Astyanax mexicanus: one gene and its partners. The protein of the gene in region 2 interacts with the protein of the main gene of each other region in a biochemical or structural test. Links are inferred from orthologs where the notes say so. Each region holds a gene or a part of one and is shown on either strand. Other genes may lie near its edges.

Region 1 (7,116 bases), on a different chromosome or scaffold from region 2:
AAATGAGCACAAAATTAACCTCAGCCAAATAAAACAGCACAAAGCAGTAAACACAACTATTGTACAACCGATTTTGGGGTGTTTTGGGTTTTTTGTGTGTTTAATACTGAATCTGAGCTGAAACACAGTGTGTACTGAACTTCTGCTAAATCTGAGATCCAGACTTTACTGGTTAGAAGATCCTATGGAGTAAAGAAGACCAGAGATATAGCTAATTAGTACTTAACAATAACAAGAATAAAAAGGTAGATAGTAAAAAATACCACTAACTAAGACATTGTACAAAAAGTAAACTAAATACTAACTAAAAATAAGTAAATAATTAAATAAGATATTAAGATATTAACTAAAAGTAAGTTTAATTATATTGAATCTGTATATTTTAATACTGAATAAACACATGCAGTAATCATTAAACATCTAAAAAACATGTAGATTCATTAAACATATAAAATATAATAAAACACCACAGACCTGCAGATCTCACAGTTTATTCAGGAATGATTTAATACAGAAAATAAAAGGGGAAAACTACCACCATTATGAACAAAAACTTAACAGAAAATTATCTTTTAAACAGATATAAAGAGAATCTTTGTGTAGAAATTGTTAAGATTTTATTTAGATATTAATTTGTTAAACAGAAACTAGCTTTTGTTACCCAAAATCTACTTTTAATCTACAATCAGATTTTTTGTTCTGACTCAACAAATTAGATTCTGATCGAGTAAATAAACAATAAAGCTCATTTATAATGTTGAACAGGAGTGATGATCAGTGGAGCTGAATTTTTACCTCCATCATTGAGCTCAGGACTGAAGTATGGATAGAGTTTCTCAGTGAAAGACTGACCAGTGAAAGAGTAGATATGAGATCTGACCTCAACATCATAGAAGGAGACCAGACCCTCCTCATAATCCACAAACACCCCCACCTTCTGGGGAGCCTGATTTAACCAGAGGAGGACACGAGGAGATTCCAGAGCTTTATATTCAGTTTCATTCCTCAACCACACAGTCCAGTATCCATTCTCAGGACTCAGTATAATCCTTCCCTTCCTGTTGCTGGACTCTCTGGTCACTCCTAATGTCCACTTAGTCTTCCCACTGACCTGAACCTCATAGTAAAATCTTCCTGAGGAGAAACCCTCCTTTCCCAGAACACAGACACAAGGATCAAATCTCTCTGGATTATCAGGGAGATTCTGTTGTTTGTCTCCAAGTTTAACTTGTTTTTCATCATCAGACAGGATGAGAAAAGGATTTGCTGTATCAGGATCCAGAGTCACGTCCACTGAGAGAGAAACACAGTTTAAACCCATTTTAATCAACATACTGTAAGAAATAGAGAATCATACAGACTGAATCATGTGATCAGTGAAAGCCCCACCCACCTGCATACTGCTGAATTCTCTTCAGTTCTGTTTGAAAAAGAATAAAGACTATTAGATTCTAAATTCAGGTTTATTAAAAACCTGAACAGTAAACACTTACCACTCTTACCAATCTTCTCCATCTCCTGTGTGAGATGTTCCTGAAGCTGAGACAGAGCTCTCCTCAGACTCTCCACACTCAGAGGAGTGTTAACACTGACGTCAGTCCAGTTCTTGGTGTGTGGGGGTCTGCAGAGGGACGGGTAAATCTACAGTACAGCAGGAGAGAGGAGAAACCCCTCAGCATGGGCAGTGCTGTCCTGTGATGGACTGCATTACTATTGAGAAACAGAGGGACTCTGACCTGTAGGAGGTGGAGGTGGTCCTCAGTGTGGGAGATCTGCTCCAGCTCAGTGTCTCTCCTCTTTAGCTCAGTGATTTCCTGCTCCAGCTCTTTAATCAGCTCTTCAGCCTGCCTCTCTGCTGCTTTCTGCTTCTCCTCCATCACCTCCAGCAGCTCAGCCTGGCTTCTCTCAATGCAGCGCACCAGAGCCCTGAAGATCTCCACACTGTCTGCTTTCTCCTTCTCTCTGATTTTCTAAAAGGAGACAACAATAAGAACAATAACACTGTTTAAAGAGCAGCTTTCATATTTAAAATGAGTTTAAACGCTATAGAATCTCACTTTATTGAGTTCTACAGAGTGTTTGATCTCCTGGATCTTCTTCAGTCGCTCCTGGATCATCTGCTGAACTTCTGCCTGTGTCTTCTCCAGCTGAGTCTGTGATAAAGAGACACATTATGATCAGTTATTCTTAGGAAAAATAGGAGAATAGTAAAATTAGTGTTAATAACTCTCTGTCTAAACATCTCTCACCTTCTTCTCTCCACTCTCCTCCTCTATAGGAACAGTACTGTGAGTCCGGTGGTCTCCCTCAGTACAGAACTGACACACACACGTCTGGTCGTCTCTACAGAACAGCTCCAGGGGTCTCTCATGTTTCTGGCAGATGTAGTCCTCCAGGTTCTCCACAGGATCCATCAGCTTGTGTTTCTTATATTTGGGTGTAGTTTTATGAGGCATCAGATGAGTGTCACAGAAAGAAACGCCACAGTCCAGACAGGACTTTACAGCCTCCAGCTTCTCCTCACTACAATAGACACACAGCACCTTCTTAGATTTGGAGGTACATTTCTCTGGAGCTCTGCTGGACTTCTCCTGAACTGACTTCTTAAACTCAGAAGCCAGTCCAGAGATGAAGGTGTTCACACGGAGCTCAGGCCTTTTGGAGAATTCTTCTTTACAGACTGGACACTGGCAGTGTGAGCTGCTGTTCCAGCACTTTCTGAGACAGACCATGCAGAAGTTGTGTCCACATGGAGTAGAGACTGGATCAGTGAACACATCCAGACAGATAGAGCACTGGAGCTGATCTTCAGACAGGAGACTGCTGGAGGAAGCCATGACTGACTGAGGAGACACAGAGAAGCAGCATGAAGGTGATCTGAGAGCACAGAGATCATTTCAGAATAATTCTTAGTCAGTGAATGAAAACAATTTCACACTTTTCACCATCAAACCCATCCAGCTGCTGATCATCTCCACATTCCAGCTGTTAAAGCTGAACTCTGGGACTGAACTAAAGTGAACAGCTTGAGCTGGAGAAAAGAAGTGAGCGTCTTACAGCAGTTTAAACACGTAGAAGAGCAGTGAATGTAAAAAAATTAGCTGAACAGAAGGAAGCAGAAACAGGAGGAAGATTAAGAGACATTACTATGGCATCATATTTTACTGCCAATAGTCGAGAGCGAAGTTTTTGAATGTAAGAGTCTGTTTCATGCAGCGCTCACAGATTTTATTTGCTCACGTGTAAAATATAGGTGCGCTCTCACAAATTTACCATGCTCTCTCTCAGATTAACTCTCCTCTTGTACGAAACATCACACGCACTCTCAGATATATCATATCTGGGATATATCATATATCTAGCTTTGAGCTAATGCTACAGCACACAGAACTCACATCCAAGCGCAGCTGCAGAGATCAGCAGGGGACTCTTTTCGGCACAACACCAGCAAACTCCGGCAGTATGTTTACAGTATATTAAACACAGCTGATCCAACTAATGAACTAACTGACCTCTGTGAGGAGAGCTGGTTGTGTCACAGCAAAAAAAAAAAACTAACCCAGCAATAAAGAGTTACTCCAAAACCAGCTTTAAACACTGTAGCACGTTTTACCATTTACCTTTTTTTTATTTGGTGAAATAAATCTCAATGTTTGGTCTTTCTGGCTCGTTGTTTCAGTACATTAAGCCACGTTAAGATTCATCCTTATAATGTCTTTCAGTGGAAAAAAAACTCACATTAAGCCATTCTACATGTTTTACAGGACAAGTGTTTTAGACTCTGTAGTTCTTCAGTTAGCTGGGTTAGCTCTGTGGTTCTGGAGTAACTCTGTCCTGCTAGTTTTACTGCTGTAACACACAGCTCGCCTCAGTGAGGGCAGTTAGTTAGTTGATTAGTTGTTAGTTGATAATTTGAGTCATGTGTTTAGTATGTAATTAGTATAAACTAATGACCGTAATTAAATACTAAACCCGCAGGGAAGCGCTGCTCCTGAACTGAGAACCACTTTCTCTTATTATCTGCCTTTTAAAGCTCTAACACAGACTACACTGCTCAACATCACCATACTGATAGAGTTTTCACCTGTTTAAATACTTTAATGATCCTCTGTGAAGAAGAAGAATAGTGCAAAACGCGATCCGACCGGAGTTCGCTGGTGTACTGCAGAATCGAGTACTCTGGCATTTCCTGCCACAGATAAGCGTTAGCTTAAAGCTAGCATTTTTTCTCATTACAACTCTTAAACGATCTCATAATTCAGAGGATCTAGTGATGTATAGGAGGAAAATGTACACAGAATAAAACGTACAGAGTTCTGAACAGATTTATTTACCACAGAATGTGATAGAGGCGAGTTTTTGAGAACTTTCAGACACTTATAAGCCATACGAGAACTACAGAATGACGCACGACCTCAGCGGTCTATTTAACTGGTCAAATCCTTTTGCCACTTCTGATTGGCTGGAGACTTTTGGCAGCTTTGTTGCAGTAAAAATCGCTCCGCGAGCACACAGGGAGAGGGGGTTGGATCTCTGCCTGACGGGAGACGGGCGGCAGTGGTGGGTCTTCGTGACGTCACCCGCCAGACACTTTTTCATCGACCCGGCAGTGCCAGGCACGTACCCGGCAGTACTAAAAACTGACAGGGGGCTTGCTGACAGTACGCCGGCAGTTTTAAAAACTGTCAGGTAGCTTCCTGACAGTACGCCGGCACTACTAAAAACTGTCAGGTAGCTTCCTGACAGTACGGCGGCACTATTAAAAACCGTCAGGGGGCTAGCTGACAGTAAGACCGGAGTCAAGCTATCCGCGCTTCGGAAATTCTCAGTCAAGTCATCCGCGCTTTAAATTTTGATGCGCGTATACGTGCGATTTTACGGTAAACAGCCGCGCAGGCGGAGAGCACGCTTAAAAAACACAGAGAACGGGAGACCGACACGTTTCAGTCTATTATATTAATTCAGACATACATTAAGCCCAGAAACGAGAAAAAACGGATTAAAATAACTCACCTCACTGTATATTTTGTGCAGTACATTATCTATTTGATATAATATCCCATCAGTGTTTAAGAGAGAGAGAGTTTTATATTAATATTACTTTTTTCAATCCATGCTTCAAATTAAAATTTCTCATGAGTTTCCCAAAAAACCAAAACAGATCCAGTACCTTGTAAAAGAGTCCATCATAGACTATCACTTCTGCAAGTGTGGGCAATTTTTACTGTATGGTTTATTTTATATTAATAAAAAAAGTGTATGCGTGTTTAAAATTAAATTTTTCATGATTTTCCCATAATGCCAAAACTGGTCCACTACCATTTGAAAGAGTACAACATAGGCTGTCACCTCTGCAAGTTTGGGCAAATTTCACTGTATTTTTTATTTTATATTATTATTATTATTATTATTATTATTATTATTATTATTGTTTTTTTTATTCATGTTTAAAATTAAATTTCTCATGATTTTCCCATAATGCCAAAATAGATCCACTACCATTTGAAAGAACCTATGCTATGACTCCTGCGAGTTTGGGCAAATTTCACTGTTTTGTTTATTTTATATTAATTACAAAAATATATAGATATAAACATATATATATAGTATATGCATATTTAAAATTAAATTTCTTGTGATTTTCCCATAATGCCAAACCAGGTCCACTACCATTTGAAAGAGTATGTCCTAGGCCATGACTCCTGTGAGTTTGGGCAAATTTCACAGTTTTGTTTATTTTATATTAATTACAAAAATATATAGATATAAACATATATATATAGTATATGCATATTTAAAATTAAATTTCTTGTGATTTTCCCATAATGCCAAACCAGGTCCACTACCATTTGAAAGAGTCCATCCTAGGCTATGACTCCTGCAAATTTGGGCAAATTTCACTGTTTTGTTTATTTTATATAATTTTTTTTTTTTTTTTTTTTTTATGCTTAAAATGACATTTCTCATGATTTTCCCATAATGCCAACACAGTTCCATTACCATTTGAAAGAGTCTGTCCTAGGCTTTGACTCCTGCAATTTTGGGCAAATTTCACTGTATTGTTTATTTTATATTAATTTATTAATTTTTTATGCTTAAAATTTAATTTCTCATGATTTTCCCATAATGCCAAAACAGTTCCACTGTTAGCATTTGATGCCAAAACATAGGCTATCACCTCTGCAAGTTTTGGCAAATTTCACTGTATTGTTTATTTTATATTATTATTATTATTTTATTCATGTTTAAAATTAAATTTCTCATGATCTCATGATCTCTACAATTTGAAAGAGTCTGTCCTAGGCTATGACTCCTGCAAGTTTGGGAAAAATTCACTGTATTGTTTATTTTATATTATTTATTTATTTTTATTATTCATGCTTAAAATTAAATTTCTCATGATTTTTCCATAATGCCAAAACAGGTCCACTCCCATATGAAAGAGTCCAGTTTTTAAAACTGCCGGCGTAATGTCAGCAGGCTCCCTGACAGTTTTTAAAACTGCCGGCGTACTGTCAGGAAGCTCCCTGACAGTTTTTAATAGTGCCGGCGTACTGTCAGGAAGCTCCCTGACAGTTTTTAAAACTGCCGGCTCACTGTCAGCAAGCTCCCTGACAGTTTTTAAAACTGCCGGCGTACTGTCAGGAAGCTCCCTGACAGTTTTTAATAGTGCCGGCGTACTGTCAGCAAGCTCCCTGGCAGTTTTTAATACTGCCGGTGTACTGTCAGCAAGCTCCCTGACAGTTTTTAATAGTGCCAGCGTACTGTGAGCAAGCTCCCTGGCAGTTTTTAGTAGTGCCGGCGTACTGTCAGCAAGCTCCCTGGCAGTTTTTAGTAGTGCCGGCGTACTGTCAGCAAGCTCCCTGGCAGTTTTTAATACTGCCGGCGTACTGTCAGGAAGCTCCCTGACAGTTTTTAGTAGTGCCGGCGTACTGTCAGGAAGCTCCCTGGCAGTTTTTAGTAGTGCCGGCGTACTGTCAGGAAGCTCCCTGGCAGTTTTTAGTAGTGCCGGCGTACTGTCAGCAAGCTCCCTGGCAGTTTTTAATACTGCCGGCGTACTGTCAGGAAGCTCCCTGACAGTTTTTAGTAGTGCCGGCATACTGTCAGGAAGCTACC
Region 2 (7,628 bases):
TAAATCATACATATCCTAAATCATATATATCCCAAATCATACATATCCTAAATCATACATATCCTAAATCATACATACCCTAAATCATACATACCCTAAATCATATATATCCTAAATCATACATACCCTAAATCATACATATCCTAAATCATACATATCCTAAATCATACATATCCTAAATCATACATACCCTAAATCATATATATCCTAAATCATACATACCCTAAATCATACATACCCTAAATCATATATATCCTAAATCATACATATCCTAAATCATACATATCCTAAATCATATATATCCTAAATCATATATATCCTAAATCATACATACCCTAAATCATACATACCCTAAATCATACATATCCTAAATCATACATATCCTAAATCATACATATCCTAAATCATACATACCCTAAATCATATATATCCTAAATCATACATACCCTAAATCATACATACCCTAAATCATATATATCCTAAATCATACATATCCTAAATCATACATATCCTAAATCATATATATCCTAAATCATATATATCCTAAATCATACATACCCTAAATCATACATACCCTAAATCATACACATCCTAAATCATATATATCCTAAATCATATATATCCTAAATCATATATATCCTAAATCGTATTTATATTTTCATATGCAGTAAAATATGCAAAGATCGAACACATATACTGTTTAACAGGTTTGGGCTGCAAAAAACAGACTCACAAATCCAAAGTCACTTCTACAGCCCTGACTGTAAATAAGGATACATATAGAATTGAGAAGTATAGAAATCGTTATGATTTTTGAGATGTTTGAATGAATTCAGCTACTTTATGTTGCATGAATTACTGACACAGATGTGCACAGGTTTTGTCAGTAGAATAGATTTATCTGGAGAAGGTCTCTCTGGAATGGTGGAGCTCCATCCAGCACTTCAGTTTGGTTGGGTCAGTTGGGTATTTGTGGGGGTAAAGTGGGGGTGTTGCACTGTAAAAATGTTCATAAATGTTTACAAAAATGTAAATAGAATAATCATTTTTTTAGGTAAGATTACATTTATTTACAGCGATTATGTCTCAAGTATTTTGAGTTAGGTGAACGTTTGACATCTTTGCGATGGAAATGATCAACTGGACCGAGAATGCTCCATGCTAACAAACAAAACACCTGCAGTGATGCTGAATTTACTCATTTCTCTGACCTTGATGTTTCTCATTAATTACCTGCAGCTTTGTCAGATTGTCAGATTGTCAGATTGTCCGGCCTCAGTGTTGGTGGCTTTAAGAGCAAGTTACCTTTTTCTGTATATTTTGGATTTCCTTAACATTTTAAATAAGCAGTGTGCAGGTCTTTACAGTGTAATAAACAGTATATTATATTAATAAAAGTGATAAAATGTAAATGTGTGTCACTATCAGTTTTCATGAATATGTAATATACCCACAGTAATCACAGTGTATTTAAATGATTGAATATCTGGTGCTGCGTGACTCAGGCGTGTTTATATTCAGGACTACTGCCCTGTATCATCCTGCAGTTCACTCACTAACAGGAAGCTGTGGTGTAAACACACTCCTGTAGTTAGGGGTGTTTTATCCGGACGTCACTTCACCATCAGCGTCACGCTCACCAACAGACAACGACACACTGCCCAACAACACCGTCACCGCGCCGCCTCCCTCCCCGTCACTAACACTAGTGATCAGACCGTCTCTCAGATGTGGAAATGTGGGAAATAACTGTGATAAATGTGGGATGATTTGAGTTAAATATCTAAATGCTTTCGGTTAAGTTAGACTGAGTTGTTTTCTGGTGTTTATTTAGTGGTCACCAAATCAGACCAACATTAATTAAATACCATGAAGATGCAGCTCATCCAGATTCCAGATCACAAATATTTAACAAACTCAATCAGACACATTTATTCAGTTACTGTCTGAAACTAACGGTTCACTTTGAGATGATTTGGAAATGTTTCACGTTGGCAGAACAAGCACCAGGAGTAAAGCAGCATAAAGTTATCCAAAAGCAGTGTGTAAGACTGGTGGAGGAGAACATGATGCCAAGATGCATAAATTCAATCTGTGATTAAAAAACAACCAGGATTATTCCACCAAATATTGATTATTTCTGAACTCTTAAAACTTTATGAATATGAACTTGTTTTCTTTGCATTATTTGAGGTCTGAAAGCTCTGCATCTTTTTTGTTATTTCAGCCATTTCTCATTTTCTGTAAATAAATGCTCTAAATGAGAATATTTTTATTTGGAATTTGGGAGAAATGTTGTCTGTAGTTTATAGAATAAAACAACAATGTTCATTTTACTCAAACATAAACCTATAAATAGTAAAATCAGAGAAACTGATTCAGAAACTGAAGTGAAATCTTAATTTTTGCAGAGCTGTATATTAATATGTTATAATACTGTAATTAACTAAACATACTTTAAATGTTTGTGACGCCATTCCCACTTTCATCATCCAACACCGGAGGTAAATAAATTTACAGTGAAACCGTGCTGTTCTCTTCTCTAAACACTCTTCTGTTTTGCACTGGAATGATGGAAAAACAGATTACACAAGAAATACTGATTTAATCATTGTGGCTTTTCTTTGGTAAATCAGACTCAGTGTAATCTGAGGGTCTTTGCTGAGAATTTATCAGCAGGATTCTACCCTTGTGAAAAAATATTTTTTTAATATAATATTAGTGTACTTGAACTACATGTGGAATAATTATCATATACTTTTCTGCCTATACATATATCTTTACCTGCTTAATTTACCTAGTTTTGTACTGGTGATGTACTTAATAAAATACATGCTTAATATTATTTTATAAAACTGTGCATTTTTATCACAAAACTATACTTTTATTGAATTCAATAAAACTGTACTTTAGTGAAATTTGCTAGCAAAACATTTTTTTTGCATATTTTGTGTTGCTTATAAAAATTAAAACTGTGCTGATGAACATTTCAGGTTTTAAATAAAGTTAACTTTATAGGATATCTTCAAATACACAGCATACACAAATATACTTAAATTGTATTAAATAGTGTCGTTAAATAGTGTATTAAATATTTGACTAGTACACTGATATAATTATATAATTTTAACTACAATTTTAATAAAGTACAAATTAGTGGTTCCAAAAAAACATAACTTAGTACAGTCCTAATTCAGTATAATTTAAGTATACTTTAAGTACAGGAGTAAATCAGATCAGAGAGCAGAGCCTCTGTGTTCACATCCTGCAGAACAATATTAAATAAACACATTTCCTCAATCTGAACCAAAACTGCGGAGGAAGTGAGTGTGAGGAAGGTCCGGGGTAGAGGTGTGTAAATCTGTTCACACAGGGAACTACAGCCGGAAACACCGAGCTCACGCCTGTACCAGGAAATGAACACATAGACTCAACACTGCCTGATGAGGGACAGGGTCAAGATTACGTTTACTGTAATATAAAATTCGAAAAATGTATTTTACTTATTAGAATTGGCTTTAGAATACTAATATATGCTCTTTAAATGTCTTCATAATAGTTTTTTTTTCAATATAGTTGCATTGTATACTTTAAATATCATAGTAACTCTAAATTGTTATTTATGAGTGTTACAAAATGTTGGAAACTTGTATTACCAAAGTTTATAAAACTATTGGTTCCTGCCATCATTTATTTACCTTTTACACACTGTAATTCCCAAACATTATTCAAATATTTTGAGTTAAGCGAACATCTGTGCCCACATACACATTCAATCAGAGATCTAGCAGTTTACAAGGGGCACTGAGTGATGTATGGGTTTAGGGGCGGGGCAGAAGGGAGAGCAGTGTGCCTCTGATAGCAGTGAGATGCAGATGGTTGGATGTCGTCAGCAGGGGGGCGGTATTATTGATTGATTGACTGATTGCTTGATTGATTTGCTTATTGTGAGTATCCATGTACCAAAGTACACAGAAACATCTTCCACAACTATAGCACAGTTAAATCTGTGAAGGCGCTACAGAGGCAGAAATAAAATCCACCATAATAAAAGCCTTTTTTGTAAAGGTTTGAAAATATATAAATATAAAAAAAAAATACCAAGACTGGTATGTTTCTTTACCTCAAAAAGGGACACGTTTCAGCTATTAATGAAAAATAAAATGGTTTACAGGGTTTTAGTGACTCTTTAGGTTTTAAGGATTTTAAGTACACTTTAATAGAAGAGATTGTTTTAATATTAACTTGAATATATCTTGATAATTATTTCTTTATTAATAATTATTTTATAAATATTTATTAGTACATTTATAATATACTTTTTTAGGGTAATTATTCAGTAAAATAAATTAATTTATCAGATTTTACACTATAAATGCAGGATTTGTCTGATAAAACGAGGCGCTTAGTTTTCCCACCCGTTTTCTGACATTGTCCCACCCAATGACTGTATCGGCCACATTCTCAGCCAGGATTGGCTAGACGTAGAGAGCTTCTGTCCCCTGATTGGCTTGTTAGATTTAAGTATCCAATCCTCTCCGAGAGGAGGCGGGGTTTACCTGATTACAGGTGTGTAAAAAAACGCAGCTCAGTGTTTACGGGAAGTGACTTTTCACTTTTCAGTATGAGGAAGTGTGTGCGCGTGAAGTTTTAATGGAAGATTCAGCTTTAAAAACTACATTTTACCGCTTTATTAAAGATTAAAGAACAGATATAAACACTGGGTATAACAGCGCGGTAGTTACATCGTATTTAACAGTGTATTTAAGTGTTTAGAAGCGGTGACTTTGATCCTGTTGTTGTGAAGGAGCGGATTCAGGTGATAAAGGTAATGTGTTGTTTAGTTTTACTGTTTTATTCTTATTTTACTATTAAATAAACAGATAAAGTATAATGCACACTGTCTCTCACATACACACAGCTCATTATTCACTGTTTTAAAACTATAAAACATCATTTTCCTCTTTATTAACTCTAAAACTGGAGTAAACAGAGCAGAGCTGCTGTAGTTCTGAATGTACCGCGTGCTGATAAAAATACTGATACTGATATAGATAGAGCCCACGCGCGAGAGTTTTAACCATAATACTAGAAATATCATTGGTTATTTTTGTTTTAAACATATTTGATTGGTTTCCTTTATCTCTTTTTATCTTATTTTCACTTCATTTCTAAAAATTCCTGTTCTTTTTATAAGTATAAGCTGCAGTCCTATATAAATTTCCTTTGTTTTTAATTTAATTTTATTAATAATAATAATTAATAATTTAATTAGCAACTAAATGCCCCAAACAAATACAAGTACATATGGTTGTAGTTGGTGTGGTGTAGTGGATAACACCACCGCCTGCCAGTGAGCTACGAACAACATGTGGGAGACTGGGGTTCAATTCCAGAGTCCTTGGACTAGACTCCTAACACTACATTGGCCCATTTCTGTAACAGGAATAAACTTATAAGTCACTCTGGATAAGAGCGTAATAATAACCGTAAATGTGATGGTTATTGTAAAGAATAAATAGAGTATTATACCACAGTTAGTTCCGACCCTGCAATGTGATTGGCTGAAAGGTGTTCTATGAGTGCCTTTATCAGCCGGTAATGCACTGTAACTAGACTCTCCATGTATTACTACGCCCACATACAGGTAACCTAGCAACGATGCAGCGCTTACAAACCAGACAGCGCAGCTACAAACAGAGCAGCAATGGAACTATTTTAACCAAACAGATCCTATTTTCTCCTCCTCTTTAACTCTTTAAAATCTTTCAATAAACAGTGATAATTGAACTGTGGTATAATTAAGCAATAATACACTCCTGTTATAGCACTGCCTCTTGAGAATTATTGGGAATCATCTTAAATCTAACCTCAAGTGATGGTTATATATATATATATATATATTCAGGTGGCAGCTGTTTATCAATAGGGCATCCCAAACTGTATGAATTTACTGTAAAATAAAAACAGCAACAGGTTAAAGTGTGTTTAATTCTTGTCTCTTTTTTAATGATTAATTTCTCCTCAGGACTGTGGAGAGAGCTGGACCTGAGGGGTCAGCATGAGCCGAGCTTCTCCCATGCAGCCCCAGAACTGCGGACCCTGGGAACTGAAGGAGAGACTCGGGACCGGAGGATTTGGAAATGTTACTCGGTGGCAGAACAAGGTATAAAACACTGTCTAAAACTTATAATAATAATAATAAACTTTATTTTTTATAGCACCTTTCATACATAAGCTCAAAGTGCTTCACAATAAAATTTTATAAATTAGCAAAATGTAACAGTAATATAAAACAAATAAAACAATTAAAAAGTAACAATTTCATAAAATAGTAGGAAATAAGACATTTATATTAAAATAAAATATAAAATAAGATAAATGTAAACAAAAATGATAAATTAAGAATAAGAACAACAAAAGCATTTACATAAAAAAAATATGCTAGTATAAGCAGTACAGAACTTGTAGAAAGCTGAACAGCTAAAGGAAGGTTTTTAGCTGTGTTTTTTAAAACTAGTAACACTCGATACCTGACGAATATTAATTGGTAAAGAGTTTAATATTTTCCAGATAAAAATCCAGATAAAGAGCTGTATATTTTACACCCTGCGCAGGATGTCTCGAGATGCTCATCGCCATCTTACACCCCGTCAACATTCCTCGTTTAAACAGCAGCAGAGCTATTTAAATTTGCTTGTTTATCTTGGTAACAGAAAACACAGGAGCTCCACTGACTGAATACAACCTAGACAGATGCCAACAGTCAGACGTTCATCGCTATCTTGTAATGCTGGTCATGTTGCTGTGCTGGTCATCCTGTAGTCCTTTATCAGTATTTTCATTAGGTTTTCTATTCTGTGGGTCCTGAGTATTAAAGAACAGAGTGAAAATTTGAAGGAGGAGAATAATAATAAAGTATAATAAAGAATAATGTTATTATTATTGATCTGTGTTTATAATCTGCAGGGCTTCTTTTCTTCATTTCTCTGAAGTGTCGTTTATTTAGTATCTTCGTTTATGGTAAAGGAAGCTGAGTCAGTCTCACCTCACCTCAGAAATACATCAGAAATACACAGATAAAAATAGAGCTGCTATTGTTTACCACACACCATTACCAACAATAACCTGTTAAACCCAACAGGAAATATGATATATATATGAGCATCCTCTTAAGGTGATCTCATACCGGGTCATCACCTGCCTCACCCTGGCAGCCGATTATAACTTTAAATATGGTGGAAAAGGTTGAAAATCCCCCTTCTCCTCCACCAGTCTTACACACTGCTTTTGGATAACTTTATGCTACTTTACTCCTGGTGCAAAAATTCAAGCAGTTCAGTTTGGTGGTTTGATGGTTTGTGATCATCCATCTTCCTCTTGATTATATTCCAGAGGTTTTTAATTTGGTAAAATCAAAGAAACTCATCATTTTTAAGTGGAATCTTGTTTTTTTCCAAAGCTGTATAGTATCTGGCTGCATGCCGATAAATTATAAATGTGTTCTGAGAGTCACTAATGGTTTTTATTTTAGGCGTCTGGGTCAGGACCTCTAAAACAGCTGGAACTGTAATATTAGTGGAGGTTTACGTAACTGTGCTCTTATTATTCTGCTCAGACAGTTTCCT
Region 3 (7,132 bases), on a different chromosome or scaffold from region 2:
CTTGACAGGAGAGCTTTTGTCAGTAATGTTTATATGTCGTAACTAGGGATCTTAAATGTATCAAATGTAAAATTAATTAAGTATCCTGATGCAGGTCACACATCATAAATTATTTCTTCATGTATGGGGATATTATATGTTATAAATCAATTATAATAACACATTGGCACAACTGGTGAAAAAAATGATATGAAACACAGGGAGGTGATTGTCAGAAATACCCAGCTCCTCACTCACAACCACATCCTTATCAGCATGGATCGCCATTTCAGTTGCAGCTTCAGGACATGGACACAAAATAAAATGAGTCAGCTGCACAGACACTGGAACGGATTGTCCTGCTCTCCCTCACCCCTGTCCCAGTGTCACCTGATACTATGAATTCTAGTAATCAGCAGCCAGTGGTATCCATTCTGAGAAGTCTTTTATTCAAAGCAGCACATTCAGTTCCAACACTTTCACATCCGCAAACGACTTCAAAACACAAAATTCCCAGACTAGATTAATTCAGAGGAAGCTGCACAGAGTCCAAATATCTATATTAGTAACATATGTACAATAAACCATATAAATTAACTGTTTTAGATGCTAGCTACAAGAGGAAAAGTCAGCAAATAAAATGTCTGGATTCAACAGCTCAACTCTGAAACGATTCGAAGTCACCACAATACCACCGTCACCCCAATCTTGGAAACACACTAAGGAAAAAGTTCTAGTCATGACAAAAGGTGATGAACAATACATTTTGGCCGACGTCTCCTTTCAACTTTCTGTAAAACACAAGCTTTCATGACACTTCTGTTCAGGTGGGGCTATTGTAACATAAGTGACTGTAAAGTGAAGCAAAAAGGGCAAGTACACAGATGCTTCCTCTTGTTAAATTACTCATCCTAAGCAAGCAGAATAGCTTGACCTCAAGTTAACAGTAGAAATGTTTAACTCTCTTAGAGCTTACAGTTAACAGCGCAATAGTGGGGCCACTTAAAATCAAATCACACCAAAAAGGGGTGCTACAGGATTTTCCCTCTATGTCTAAAATGCCTGTGCATCAGGCATTTAAAACAAACACAATATACATCCACAACTGACTATTTGATCTTGTCATAATTCATACACAAACCTTTAGCAAGTCTATCTTATACTGAACAGAGTTCACCACAGACAAATTTGTATGTGCAGTGGGCCAGTTAGGCCTAGAGGGCCTTAAATGGGCACAATTCGTTAATGAAGCAAAAAGGGAACTGTGAATAGCCAACAGGATCTGCACTACATGAGAAAACTTTTATGTTAATGCTATACATGATTACAAACAAATCCTTATTAGATGATGGCTAACTAAAAAACTTTGTATTCAGCTGTAAGCTTGCTCTACAGACATACCCTGTGTTAAAGGCAAACCAGTTTACCACTCTAAAGCCAAGTATATCCATAATTTTCAGTCTGCAGGACTCTCCAATCTGATTTGTACAAAATCCCCACAAAAAAGCAGCTACCAAAAGAGATGCTCAGGCTGGCCAAATCTCATTTCTATGTGACAACCTAAAAGCAAGACTTTACCGTTCGTCCGGAGCGGCACCAGCTTCTTGACCTCTCGGCACCAGTTGAGCCTCTTCTCCTGCTCCAGGGAGATCTGCATGGCCCGGTCCAAGATGGCTGCCTGGATGACTTCGCAGAAGGCCTGCGGGAACTGGCTCATGCGGATCATCTCCAGAGTGTAGCGGTGCATGCCCCGCAGGTGATGGAGCAGGCCGCCGCTGGAGGAGGGCTTCACGACATCGTTGGGGACACGTTCGCGTATCTTTACAGCCTTTAGAAGGTTGCTGACAAACAGGAACTTGGGCAGGAAGTTCTGGCCCTGGGACATTGTGTTCTTGGGAGAGGAGCGGGACACCAAATTATTTCTGTTGGGGGGAAAAGAACAGCAATAATGACATTACTCAACATGTACAATACTCAACCAATTACTCAACCAATACACTCTGACAATGTAGGCTGGAGTAAATATGTGGGTTAGATATAACAGGTGGGCCCATGGAGCCACCTGACGTTGGACACTACCAAACCCTTATTGTGAAACACTTCCTCGAGGTCATGATGACAGAGATGGACAAAGGGTAATTTTTGGTCTATTACACTACAGTCTGCGGACGGCAGACACACACACACACACGATTCTCATCTTCTGTCAGTGAAAGTGCCTGAGGATGCTAAGCTAACCTACAAGGGCATCATTTAGGCTCTCCTGCGCTCAGTCACAGGCTGAGGTTGTCTGAGGACAACTTATACAAATACCCTGCCTCTCTCACACACACACACACAACTCATGCCCACCGTCTCTGCCCGCAGTAAAACGCTGCTCAGAGGAGAATGGCTGAGCGGACCGGGGGTGAGGCGGCGGCGGGGTGTTTTGCTCGGCTGCAGCACAACAATAGGAGCCGCTGCGTCTCGCCGCTCCGCTCGGGGTAAAGCAGCGGCGACGGCGAGCTGGCGCTCCAATTACGTAATTCTGTCCCTTACAGACAATAAACCCCCGCCACACACACTCCACAACCCGCCACACACACTCCACTACCCGCCACACACACTCCACAACCCGCCACACACACTCCACTACCCGCCACACACACTCCACTACCTGCCACACACTCCTCATTCACACTGGCGAGGCCGACAGCGGGCCGCCGCTGCGCGGAGTGTTTAATAAGCGGCTGTGAGGAGCGTCTTCACAAACAATGGCTGTCAGACCCGGGCATTCAGAATCACACCGTCCATCCGCTCTCACTCACACACCGAGTCACCGCGGCCCGCTCCGAACCGACTCCGTCTCATTTGGCTCAGTGTGGAGTCAACACGGATAATCGCGGGGCGGACCGGGGCCGCGCGCCTCTTACCTGCTCAATATGTCGGTATCCAGCAGCGGAAGCCCGAGAGAAAGAGCTGCGACTCCGCGCCTCCTCGGTCCCCCAGTCCGGAGCGCTAAACCCCGCTAACCGCGCTGCTGCTGCTCCATGGCGCTTCACACCGCGGGCTGATCCGCACCACCAGCCTCCTCACAATAACACGCTCTCTCTCACACAGCGGAGCGGAGCGGGGCTTAACCAGCCGAAAAGCCTTCGAGTTGATGTCAACAAGGAAAAGCCAGCGGGGATTTCCAAGGAGGTACTTTCCACTTTCACAACCGCGCGCAGCCAATTACCTCCCCAGGCCCGCGCGGACGCTCGCGGAGCGCGCTGACGTCGCCCTCGAAACGGTGACGCAGTTACGCTGCTAATGTTTGCCACACCCATCGGCGGAGGTCTGGCCGGGAGTATCTGTCTGCCCGCTGTCGGGCCTTTAAATCTTTCTATTGTCTTAAAAAGCTCCAGCCTTTACCACCCATGAACCCACCAGCCCCGCTGCCTGCGCCCCTCCGAGCCTCCCCCGCAGCGGCGCAGGGCTGCTGTTAGCCGCGGAGCGCGCCTGTTTCAGGCCTTTCAGCGGGTTAGTGCTGTCTGAGACTGAGGCCCGGCCAGCAGAGGGCGCTCAGACCCGCAGCCAGAGCACCCTCACCACCCTCACTAGATAACACCTCAATACCACCACCAACTACAATTCAGTTACGTCTATATAACTGAGTTAAACAGCTTTAGGTTTATTCTGGGTCAAAAAAGGAAAATACCTACACCACATGAACAACATATTGGGACAGCTGCTCATTATTTTTCTTCCAAAATTAGGGATATTAAAAAGGGTTTGTCCCCACTTTATACTAGACTATAAAGCATTGCTGTGAGGATTTGATGCACTCAGCACCAAAAGCATCAATATATTGGAAGAACCCTCATACGTCTAACCCATGCCTGGCATCACGTTCAGGCTTACATTTATCTGCTCCAAAAAGATTCTATTATCAGTTCTTCTCTACATGGACTAAGCAGAAACCAAGTAATAGTGGCAAAATGTAGTTAATGATAAAAACACGTCTCTAAAAATATAAAAACATAGAATTTAGTAATTTTGCTTTTTACTCATTTTTACCCTACTGAGACAAACTTATTTGCATATCACTCTGACCTGAGCTAAGAGGCTTTTGGCATTGTTTTGGTAAATGGATAGTAATATATTGTGTAACATTTTTAGCTCTTTTAGATCCTATCATCTTATAAATCTTATGTGTAACTGGGAAAATAGCGTCTGTATTGTTTACAACACTGTCTGATGTTGTTGAAGTAAGCAGGACCCAAAAAACTATGTAATGTTATGTAACCTGAGAATCTTGTACTATTACTTTGCTGTGTCAGCTCACATGATTGTTTCTCTTTCAGTGTTAAGTCCCAAAATGCATGTATAAAGTGTGTTGCTGGGTGGTGGCTTAAAGTACAAATGCCACAACTGTACGGGGAGCCCAGAAGCAAGAAATACCAGTTTAACTGCAGCCATTCTCTCGTTCATATGCCAACTGTACAGATAGCAGTACTGTAAAAAACTGATGACAATCTTTTAAGTGTTGCAGTACAGGGTGTCTTCTCAAAAAAGTATATTTGTATTCTAAAATTTGAAAGAATAAAACAAAATAAGTGGGTGACCAACAAATCCATGTGTGGAGCCACCGTGTCCAGCACCAGGATCAACTGTTTGTTGTAAGGCATCACACATTCATAAGGCCTGGTGTCACGGGATGGATTATTTGAGACCTCTGTATCTGTACCTCAATGAATAGGACCATGTCATTCTAAATTACTAACCTTTTTTGGTATTGGTAACTTTTATCTTCCTTCTGAATAACTTTACAATCCCACACTTTCTTCTGGGTGCAAAAGTGTATTTACCAATTTTGCTCAGCCTACAGCAGGAAAGCTCCGCCCATACTCACATTTATGTTTTAGAAATATTTCAGTTCAAACAGCTTTTTGATTGAGGCACGGTAAGAGACGGGCACTTTGAACAGTATTAGGATGACATCTAAAACACAAATTTTAACGTATCCTTTTTGTTTAAAATTGTCGTAAAAATAAATGACGCACATTTAGAAATGGACCTTAAGGAAAGTATTTGTAATATAGCAGTTATTATATTATAACTATCTAGTAATCTAGTAAGTAATTCTTTTACTTAATGATGATATAGCTGATATAGCTTACAAAGATCATCTGCAGCATCATCTACCCACACCTTTAATAGGTGTGTATACTGTATATATTAATGAAGGATTGCAAGGAAATGAACTAAAATGTATAGATGAATAAATGTAGCTCTAGTTCTATTTTGAGCCATGTATAGTAAAGTAATGTGTTCATCTAGTGTAGTTATGCTTTTATTGTGGTTTAGGAAGCATTGTATTTACATTGTTTCTAGTAAAATTATATGTTGAAGTAGTCTAAACTATAATAACCATCTAATTTAAATGATATTTGCTTAAATAATTTGCATGTTGCATAGGTATAGGAGTTTCCATTAGTCTATAATAGAAGTATTGTGTTAAACTAGTGTAGTTTGATTATATAGTGGTATGGATATAATAGTTTGATATACACATAAACGTATAATTCCAGTTATTTATCATTGTGTAGTTAAAAGTACACTACATTCACTGTCCATCTTATCAGCTTCTCTGATCATATATAATTGTATAATTACAGACTGTAGTCCTGTATTCATGTCTCTGTACACTGTATTATTATTCTTCTTTCACCCTGTTCTTCAGTGTTGCTGTACAGTTTGTGTTTGTGATCCTCTAGTCCTCCATCAGGACACTATTGGTTGGATATTTCTGGTTGGTGGAATATTCTCAGTCTAGCAGTGACATGGAGGTGTTTAAAAACTCCAGCAGCACTACTGTATCTGATCCATTCGTACCAACACAACACACACTAACACCTCATAGATCACCACCATACTGATCAGTGTCAATGTAGCCGCTCTATGGTGGTCTATTCTGTAGGGTCTCGAGCATTAAAGAACAGAGTGAAATAAGGAATGTACCGGTAATTATAAATTATAAATTGTAAGTATAAAACATTTTAGTTGAAAACCTGCATTCATGCCGGCCTGTTGCAGATAAGGATTGACACAAGTACTGCACAAAATCCAAACAAACACGACTATACTGTTTATTTACTGTACGCTGGTCAGTGTTCTGAAATTTCAGACATCGTCCATGATATGATCAATAAAGCATGCTGTGACATATTTGATCATAACATTAAAATATTGTCACATTTTCCACATATAATAATCACCTGCTCATACCAGTGCTTTACCAGAACATGTACTGTACTATCTTCCCTCATTCAGGCTTGTGCTATACCCACGAATAGGTATTAAGACTGTCACACAAACACATTTGGTTGAATCATCATGTTTTCAGTAAATGAACAGACAGGTTTATACTGTTCTCAGTATTTTCTGGCTAAGATTCAGAAATATCAGCTCTTGTACTATGAATTAATTATTCTAAATTGTCACACAACCTGTTTCAATTTGTCTGTTTTTCTTTGTAAAGAATTTGTTCAGTAATCCCAATATACGTACCCAGTTTCAGTCTGCTCACACACAGTGCAGGGACATCTACGAAGCCTTCACTGTGTCCATGCCTGCAGCCTATTCCTTTTTTAAGTTGCTTCTTCTAATACTTTGTTCAGATTTTTACTGCCGTATGGCCTTGTATAATGTGCCACACGCTGCTTAGAGTGGATGTGAACATACATATGATTCACATCAATCAACCGTCCACTTTTTTTCTCACTCAGTTTAGTCAAGGGGAACTTCCCCGGGGTTATTCTCAGACAGAGATGAAAAGAAAGAAAAAAAACTTTATGAAGTGCAGAAAAGTTTTTCCACAGCCTGGCCTACTCTGCGCTGCTGTACATTCTGTTTATAACCAGGTCTAAAATAAAGATCAACCAGTTTCACACTGATACATCTGGTGTGTCTATAATAATTAATAATAATTCTATAATAACACAAGTTACTGTTTTATGATAGGCACAGAGATTATTAAGCTTATTTGTGTACATTCTGTCCAGGCCAGTGTTCAGTAGATGTATTTATTATATGGTTCACATGACTTTGATCATTATAAATGCTGTGACTCAGAACTATGCAGTGCCGGGGGCTTCCAGTTGGGAAACACTGGCCTAATAAAACTGTTTCA
Region 4 (7,644 bases), on a different chromosome or scaffold from region 2:
ATAAAATCCAGGCACATATTAAATAATATATTTAATAATACAAGTGTAATTTGTAACTTCGTCTGATTGTAGCAAATATCTTTTAAACAAATAAAAGATAAATATGCAATTCAGTGCAACTGCTGTGTATTAGTTTCTCCACAAGGTTATTAGCACTCAGTTAGTTTAGCATGTACCATTAGCAATGAAGTAAGACTCCAAAATCCTCCTGTGAATGCCCACAACAATATGCTGTTTCTCAATAAATAGACACTGTTTTCGACATTAGTTCAGTTACACAAATATACTACATAGAAACTGGTGTTCCCTGAATTTTGTGTTACTTTATTTATTTGATGTTTTTTGCTACTCGAAGCTAGCTTTTTTTTTTGGACATTCCCACACCAGCTAGCCATCTATATGCATGCGATCCTTAAACAGAAGAATTTTAGCATTTGTATGAGGTACAGGGACTTAAAGAAAATCATATTTACAGTTTTCGGAGTGCTGTTTTTTTTCTTCCTTTTTTACATTTTCAGATTTTGTTTCATGTTTATATCTGAATTCTGCTTTTTTGATAGGGCCCTACTAGTAATCTGCTGATATAAATACATAAACATTTGTAGATTGTAGAAATTTAGGTTATTTCTATATTTTTAATTCTGTAATTCTCAAGCAGATATGTACTATGCAAATATCATGCTGCCCTAATGTGTGTGTGTTTGTGTGTGTGTGTATTTCCAGCTGACCTGTCCCAGATCATTCTGAATGTCCAGGTATGGGGTCCAGGTGTGGTTGTGGGAGATGAGCTCCAGCAGGTATTGCACAAATCCCCACTGCTCGTGGATCAGCGCCAGGTGTAGTGCACTGCCAGAACAGGAAAAGGTCAAAAAGGTCAGCAGACATAAAACAGCAGTAGCAGGAAAGACCCAGAAAAGACCCAAAGAGCCCAACTAATGTTCCAGGTGGTCTCTTTCACCCAGCTTAGTACCTAAACCCAGACAGATTGTTTAATAACAGCTGTATTAATTTTTATATGACACTTTTTACACCTCCCAGAATTAAACAGGGCTGGGTTAACCAAAGCATTATGGCACAAAGGCAGTTCTTAAATGTTCATGCAAGCATCACAATGAGAACTTGCTCTACCAATTAAGATAATCTTGACCCTATAGACATTCTCACACTACAGTTTTTTTTTCCTAGGCCTAGAACTGCTTCCTAAGCCAAACTGATATATTAAACACCTATTGAGCTGTGGATGGAACAGTATGTTTGCGAACTATGTATACTGCACCACAATCTTGTTTTATTATTATTCAGATCTATATTTACTTAGGTAATCTAATATTGATTCATATAAACTGGCAGTGTGAATTGATTCAAAATTTTATTCACATTAATCAACAATATTCTGTAATTAATCATGATACTATCCTTGTTTTCTTGTAAGGGGGGACAAAAAGCACACTAATGTCAACAATTGACAAAATAAATGACAAAAGAGGAAAACAGTAGCTGTGCTGTGTTTACCACATTTAAAACTGCTAAAACAAATACACTGCAAGGCTCTGTAAAAAATACTGTATATATCACAATAATGTCTACCACATTACACCTTATACAAAAATGTTATACTATTATATTATCTTTATATCAGAGGCATTTTAAAAAGAAAATAATTTTGTTTATTTCAATTATTTCTGCCACAATATACCTTCTACTTTTTATGTGACAGACCTGGCTGATAACAATAATAATAACAATAATAATAACAATAAACCTTTTTCTTATCAAAGCTTTTTTTAATTTTTAAGTGAAATATCCCTAAATAAATATCGAATCAAATTCGACTTGTGAACCGGAATCGAATCGATTCATATTCAAATCAGTGCTGATACCCAGCCCTAGTATTGGCCTTTTACACCTCTGGTGAAACGTGCCAGGTTGTCCAGTCTGTTATGCAATAGTGGTCTCAACGCACACTTTACATTTAGATTAACAGGTTAAACATTTTATCGTCTTTAACAGCGCTGATTATGAATAATTAAAACATCGTGATCTAACTTAGCTTATAGAAAAGTTTCTTACGTGTCTCCGTCCTCCGACACAAAGCTCAGAGTCCTCCAGAGCTCCTCTTTCCTCTGCTCTTCCTCCCGGGCTCTCTCTTCTCCGTCCCCGGCTCCCGCTGCCTTCTCCTCGGCTTCCCCCGCGAGCAGCACGGTCCTGATCCCGGCCGACAGGCTCTCCACCGCCGCCGCCTCGTCTGTGATGGAGTCCCCGATAGCGGAGTCCAGCCTCTCCCCTCCTCCGCCGCCCAGAGACACGCACTCCCCGCTCTGACTCTCTCCCGCTCCGCCGCAGTCCGCCGGGAACCCGCGGGGCCACGGCAGCTCCAGCACGGGCTCGTTCTCGGCGTCGAGGAAGGAGTCGAGCCCGCTGTCGCACCAGTCCTCAGGGGGGATCTCCGAGCGCCCCTTCCCGGCCCCGGGCTGCCCGTCCTGCTCCCCATAGCCGCCGCTCTGGAGGTCTTGGGAGAACCGTTGGTGCGCCCACTCCATTTATAATCATTTAGCTGGCTATAGCTCCGAGAAAATCAAGCCTCTGTCGTTAATGCCAGCCACTTTCTCCTCCGGATCAAAAACCAAACAAACTACCCGCTGGTTTTAGCTAACGTTACTGTTTACAGAGAGCTCGCCCGCTGTTAGCCACCTAGCGCTAACAAGCTAACCAGCTAACGGGCTAATCGGCTAGCCCGAGTTTAGCTCAGCTCTGGCCGTTTGTTTTCAGGGCCGTTTTTCGTCTGGGATCAAATTCCGCCACAACAACAGCGCCAGGCGCCTCCGCGGCGTGATTCAGCCCCGTTTCCATGTCTCTGTCCGCTCCATATTAAACCCTTCACTCAGCCGTGCGAGCAGCACACCCGCGGCTCCACAGCGGCCAAGTTTCCAGAAAAAGCCTCTCGCCTTTCGCTGGCTGAGTAGGTGATTTCCCGGGGAATTCCCAGCCCGGACCGGTTCGATTGGGGATTTTGTTACACAGGCGTCTCAAATTGCTCCCAGCTCCCTACACCCTACTGCCTATGTAGCACACTTCTGTTCCAATAGGTCACACCACTAGTTACGGTCAGTGTAACGTTTATTAATTGAACTTTCTGACCGTTATAGGCTAAATACAAAGATAGAAAATTGGATGTAAAAACTAAATTAATAACATTTTAAAATGTAGTGCAGTGTACAAGAAATACGTTTTTATCCATGTTTCCAATTTTATTTCTTTTTTTTATCTCAGGAAAATAAAAAAATGGATATTTTCTTTATTTTCTGATTTGTCAATTTTTGCATTTTGCAAGTTGGATTAAACCATCAGATTTGTGTTACAAGACACAAAAATGGACAAATCCAAAAGTCGAGAGAAGATTCATCGTTTTAATTTTCGTGGATGTTTGTTTGTGAAAGGCTGAAATAAAAAAAAGATAAGTGAAAATCTATTTCATCTTCACTATACTGAATGTAAAAAAAATATTAAGTTTTATACCCAATTTTCTATTTTCGAATGTAGCCTGATACAGTCAGAAAATGAAACTGCTAAACGTTACACTGACCAGTTCAACACATTTCATTAAAATTTTATTCAAATTTAATTGGCCCATGCATTAGTTACAGTACTTATAAACACAGTGATCTGTAGTTTTTATAAACATGGTCAGGATTTTGAGTGCAGCATTTTAAACATGTAGAGAAAAACAGCAAGTCATGATTTATTTGAACACTGGTATTTTTGTTATTGCATATTATTGTAATTGTGTGCAATTGTTTAAAAGTTTAGATATTAAACATGTTAGTCAGCATTACTGCATAATGCAATACTCACCACAGATAACAAAAATACTTTTAAACTCTATGTCTGTCTATAAATCTGTCTATCTATTGTTATGTCATTCTATTGTTCCTTCTTTCGTTCTATGGTTCTAATGCTTTGTTGGTAGTTTGTGGGTGTGTTTGTGACATATCTTGTTATAGAACCACAAAAAGTAAGGTAAGACCAGTTTTGTAAATGCAAATAAGAGGAAACACACACAGTTGTTTTAACATCTACTTTGACTTTTTAGACTGCAGACATGTATTGTCTTCACTTCATTTCATTTGTTATTATATATCCATTCCTGCATTTCAGGCCTGTAACCCATTCCAAAAAAAAACAAAAAACAAAGGCAATGTACAAACTACATTTTTAAACATGTTAAAACAGTGTTGTTTACTTCTCACATAAACCAAGCAAATGTGCAATTCTGAGGTATCACCTAAAGAATTACTTCTGCACTTCTGCACTTAGGCTTATATGTGTGATCCCAATCCCATATTGGTAAATGGAAATCCAACACCCAGAAGAGAAGAGTATTTTTGCAGTGTTTATTTAAGGGACTTTTTTTTTTTTTGGTAATCCCCTGCAGGCCACACTGGACTATCAGGCTATAGTCTTGAATGAGCGCACCCTCATTTTCGCAACATCATTGGTCACTGACTCTTTTTGGTTGAAACATCAGATCTATATATATATATATATATATATATATATATATATATATATATATATATATATATATATATATATATATATACAAAATGAGTAGTATTATATGCTTGTTTAGAGTGTATAACAAAAAAAGAGGAGATTGTTGCATGAACAGCAGTTTTATGAATACACCACAAAGAGTGTTGTGAGGCACCATTTAACTTATATCCTCTGCCATTTAGAGAAGAGGAGCTGCTGCAGTAGTTGAAGATGCTTCATTTAAAACATCCACCATTCATCTTCTTTTAGTACTTTGTGGCGGGGAAAACAGCACCACAGTTTCCATATCCAAAGAAATCCACAGAAAGCTGCTGTACCTCATCTTCCACTAGATGGAGCTCAGGAGCTGGAGAACAGCTGCAGCCACTCATTTGTTAGCAGTTAGTCAGGGATACAGGCTAGCACAGCTTTGCTTGGCCAGTAAAGAGTAACGTACCTCATGCAGTAATGAGAACCAAGATTTTAATCTCTCTAACTGGATAATATCACTCCAGAGTGCATCTTTCAGCCCATAAAGTGAGTAGCAGAGCACATAAACACCACTAACCACAAGTACAGCAGCAGAAGCTAGGTTAAAGGAAACACCTTCAAAATAACCTTAGTGCTCTATAGTTTCAAATTTGAGTTCCACAGTACAGTTCTGGATTAATAGATTCTCTCAGCTGGAGCTAAACCAGAGTGTTAGTTTATTGCTGTTATTATTAAAATAATATAATAATATAAATAATATATAAAAAATTAAAATATAGGCTAATTTGAGCCAAAAAATTGTCAGGAAAAAAGGCAATGAGATGGCGGATGTTAGGAAAGGCCCCCTACCTGCAATATTTACATGTATATTTCTCCTGAAACCCATTTATTTACAGTAAGCTTCAAGGTGGCCAACATTATGTGGCATCTAGCTCCGTCGATACCAGTGATTGGCTAATTGAGCTAAGTGGTGAACGGCCCCATCATGTGTTTGCGAGGCTCCTGGGGTTAGCTCTTAGGCTAACATCTTCCCTGACACACAAGCACCGCATTAGTAGTGGTACTGTACTTAAGTACTAAAACACTGTATCTGCATTTACTGAAGTAATATGTTTTTTAAAGAGTTTTAATTCTCTTACTCTGATCATTTTTTATTGTGCTGCATCGTTATTCGTTACAATTATAAAAATGTTACGAATCAATCCAAACAGGCATTATCACTAAAGCAAGAGGGTTATATGCTCTGCAGTGTCACAGGGTTTGATAAAGCTGCTCAACATTAAAAGAATCATTGAGAGATTCAAGTGATTAAGCTGATTTTATAAGAAGACAGCGCTGCTCCTGTTTTGCCTTTTACTCTGCTGCCAGCCTGCATTGAGAACACTTGAGCTTTATTAGTTTGTTTTGAGATGAAAGAACCGGAAACACCACCTCTAGCACCTTCAACTTTCGAATAATAGTGGTGAGGGTAAGAAAGGAGACCACCCCTGGCCCTGCTTAGAGTTCATGTTTTTATTTGTGGGAGTGGGGAAGAGAAGAGAGACATGTTTTAAAGGGGAAAAGGAGAAAATTTATCTTTTTTATATATAAAGGGTTAAGCTCAGTGTTTTAAGATACTCTAATCACTTGTTTTTACGTATTTAACACTTGTATGTGGCATTTGCCTTCTTTAGTGGATTTTACAATAGTTATAAAATATACTAATGTCTTGCTGTCAATTTTCTTTAGCATTTCTTTTGGAAGAGTTTGTTTAGAGAGTTAATTGGAGATGTCATGTGCTTGTATTCTATCTTGTACAGTCCTGTGTTTGTACTGCTGCTACAGCAAAATGTTTTGTGAGTTTTCTTTAGCCTAAACATTTGATGATAAACAATATAAACATTTTTTTTACTGCTTTCTGTAATAACTACACAATAATGACACAGTACTTGTACTTTTATTTTCAGTATTTGAGTAGTACATTTTAAATTAAAGTACTTAAGTAGAAAATTGTTGAATACTTTTGTAGATCAATTTGAACTGTACTGGCAGTTGGGAGTTTTGTTTTTCAGTGTTAACCTACTCCGCACACAGCATGTTGATATATAGGTATATTTTGCACCACCAGATGGCAGAACACACACATGTGAAAGTCTCCATCCTTTTCAAACAAAGGAACATCCTTTCTGAGCATACCCTGATGATGTCATACTCATGGGGATCAGCTCTTCTTCAGGAATATCAGCATCAGGGTATAGCTTATGTTTTGGATGCAGTGCGACACTTTCCTCTTGAATGATGAAAAAAAACAGTTTTCCAACTGTATTGAGCAGATATGCTGGATCATCAGCCTTTCCAGAGATGATTTCCAGTGTGATTTAAGAGCTGGATATTGTGCTTAAAGTGACCATGGTGGTGACCATGAAGGGGGCTGAATCAGGCATGGGAAAATGATTAGTTGGTGGTTTTGTTGATAATGCTGCTGTATAAAATCAATAATAACCATGCGATTTTAGGACAAATGGAAAATGATAAAAAAATATATATATATAGGAAAAATACAGTAACAAACGTTTTCTTCACCTATTTGGTAAAGAAAAAACTAAAAATTAAATAAAAAGAAAAAAAAAAACAATATAACAATGTTCTTTTGGTGATATTTCTAATTTTATTTGTCCAAAAGGTGATCATGACAGGATCTGACATGCCCAGATGGCTCACCTTGACACCATTCCTGGATATCTGTGTCATACATTCTGAAGAATTTAAGATGCTACAAAGATTTTTGAAACAATGCTCTGATAAAACCTTATGATAAAAAGCTGTGAGTGTGAAGAGACCTTTAATTGGTGAATAATCTATCAAATCAAACTAAATTAAAATGAGGGAAAAACAACATACATAGAAATAGAAATAGAAAAACATGCCTCAGTTCCACTGTGTCACAGAGGTGGCATCTATAATTATATTTTTGTCCACTTTACAAAAATGCATTTTAATGTAACCAAAAAGTTTTTTTTAATGATTACAAGTGATCACAGTTGTAGCATCTGTATGTATAAAATGAATGTGTTGTTTATGTACAACAATGATAACCTTCACTGGCTAGCTGCATATACAATAAATATAAATTGATATCAC

Evidence for each region.
Region 1: of the proteins of ikbkb (region 2) and nuclear factor 7, brain-like, one has a biochemical effect on the other in vitro, tested with the Homo sapiens proteins (2 studies listed by BioGRID). The link is inferred for Astyanax mexicanus from reciprocal best matches to the Homo sapiens genes IKBKB and TRIM21.
Region 3: of the proteins of ikbkb (region 2) and tnfaip3, one has a biochemical effect on the other in vitro, tested with the Homo sapiens proteins (2 studies listed by BioGRID and IntAct). The link is inferred for Astyanax mexicanus from reciprocal best matches to the Homo sapiens genes IKBKB and TNFAIP3.
Region 4: of the proteins of ikbkb (region 2) and nfkbib, one has a biochemical effect on the other in vitro, tested with the Homo sapiens proteins (2 studies listed by BioGRID). The link is inferred for Astyanax mexicanus from reciprocal best matches to the Homo sapiens genes IKBKB and NFKBIB.

What each region holds. Positions count from the first base shown.
Region 1 is NC_064415.1:5,422,862-5,429,977, forward strand, and holds nuclear factor 7, brain-like, read right to left. Parts: upstream 3,027-7,116; 5' UTR 2,838-3,026; coding exon 2,250-2,837; intron 2,154-2,249; coding exon 2,058-2,153; intron 1,971-2,057; coding exon 1,737-1,970; intron 1,642-1,736; coding exon 1,494-1,641; intron 1,421-1,493; coding exon 1,394-1,420; intron 1,294-1,393; coding exon 746-1,293; 3' UTR 486-745; downstream 1-485. UniProt on the Homo sapiens protein: E3 ubiquitin-protein ligase whose activity is dependent on E2 enzymes, UBE2D1, UBE2D2, UBE2E1 and UBE2E2.
Region 2 is NC_064419.1:217,614-225,241, forward strand, and holds the start of ikbkb (inhibitor of nuclear factor kappa-B kinase subunit beta), read left to right. Parts: upstream 1-4,608; 5' UTR 4,609-4,828; intron 4,829-6,028; 5' UTR 6,029-6,061; coding exon 6,062-6,166; intron 6,167-7,628.
Region 3 is NC_064414.1:16,579,368-16,586,499, reverse strand, and holds the start of tnfaip3 (tumor necrosis factor alpha-induced protein 3), read right to left. Parts: upstream 3,027-7,132; 5' UTR 2,892-3,026; intron 1,902-2,891; 5' UTR 1,865-1,901; coding exon 1,558-1,864; intron 1-1,557. UniProt on the Homo sapiens protein: Ubiquitin-editing enzyme that contains both ubiquitin ligase and deubiquitinase activities.
Region 4 is NC_064408.1:33,211,238-33,218,881, forward strand, and holds the start of nfkbib (NF-kappa-B inhibitor beta), read right to left. Parts: upstream 3,027-7,644; 5' UTR 2,541-3,026; coding exon 2,071-2,540; intron 847-2,070; coding exon 729-846; intron 1-728. UniProt on the Homo sapiens protein: Inhibits NF-kappa-B by complexing with and trapping it in the cytoplasm.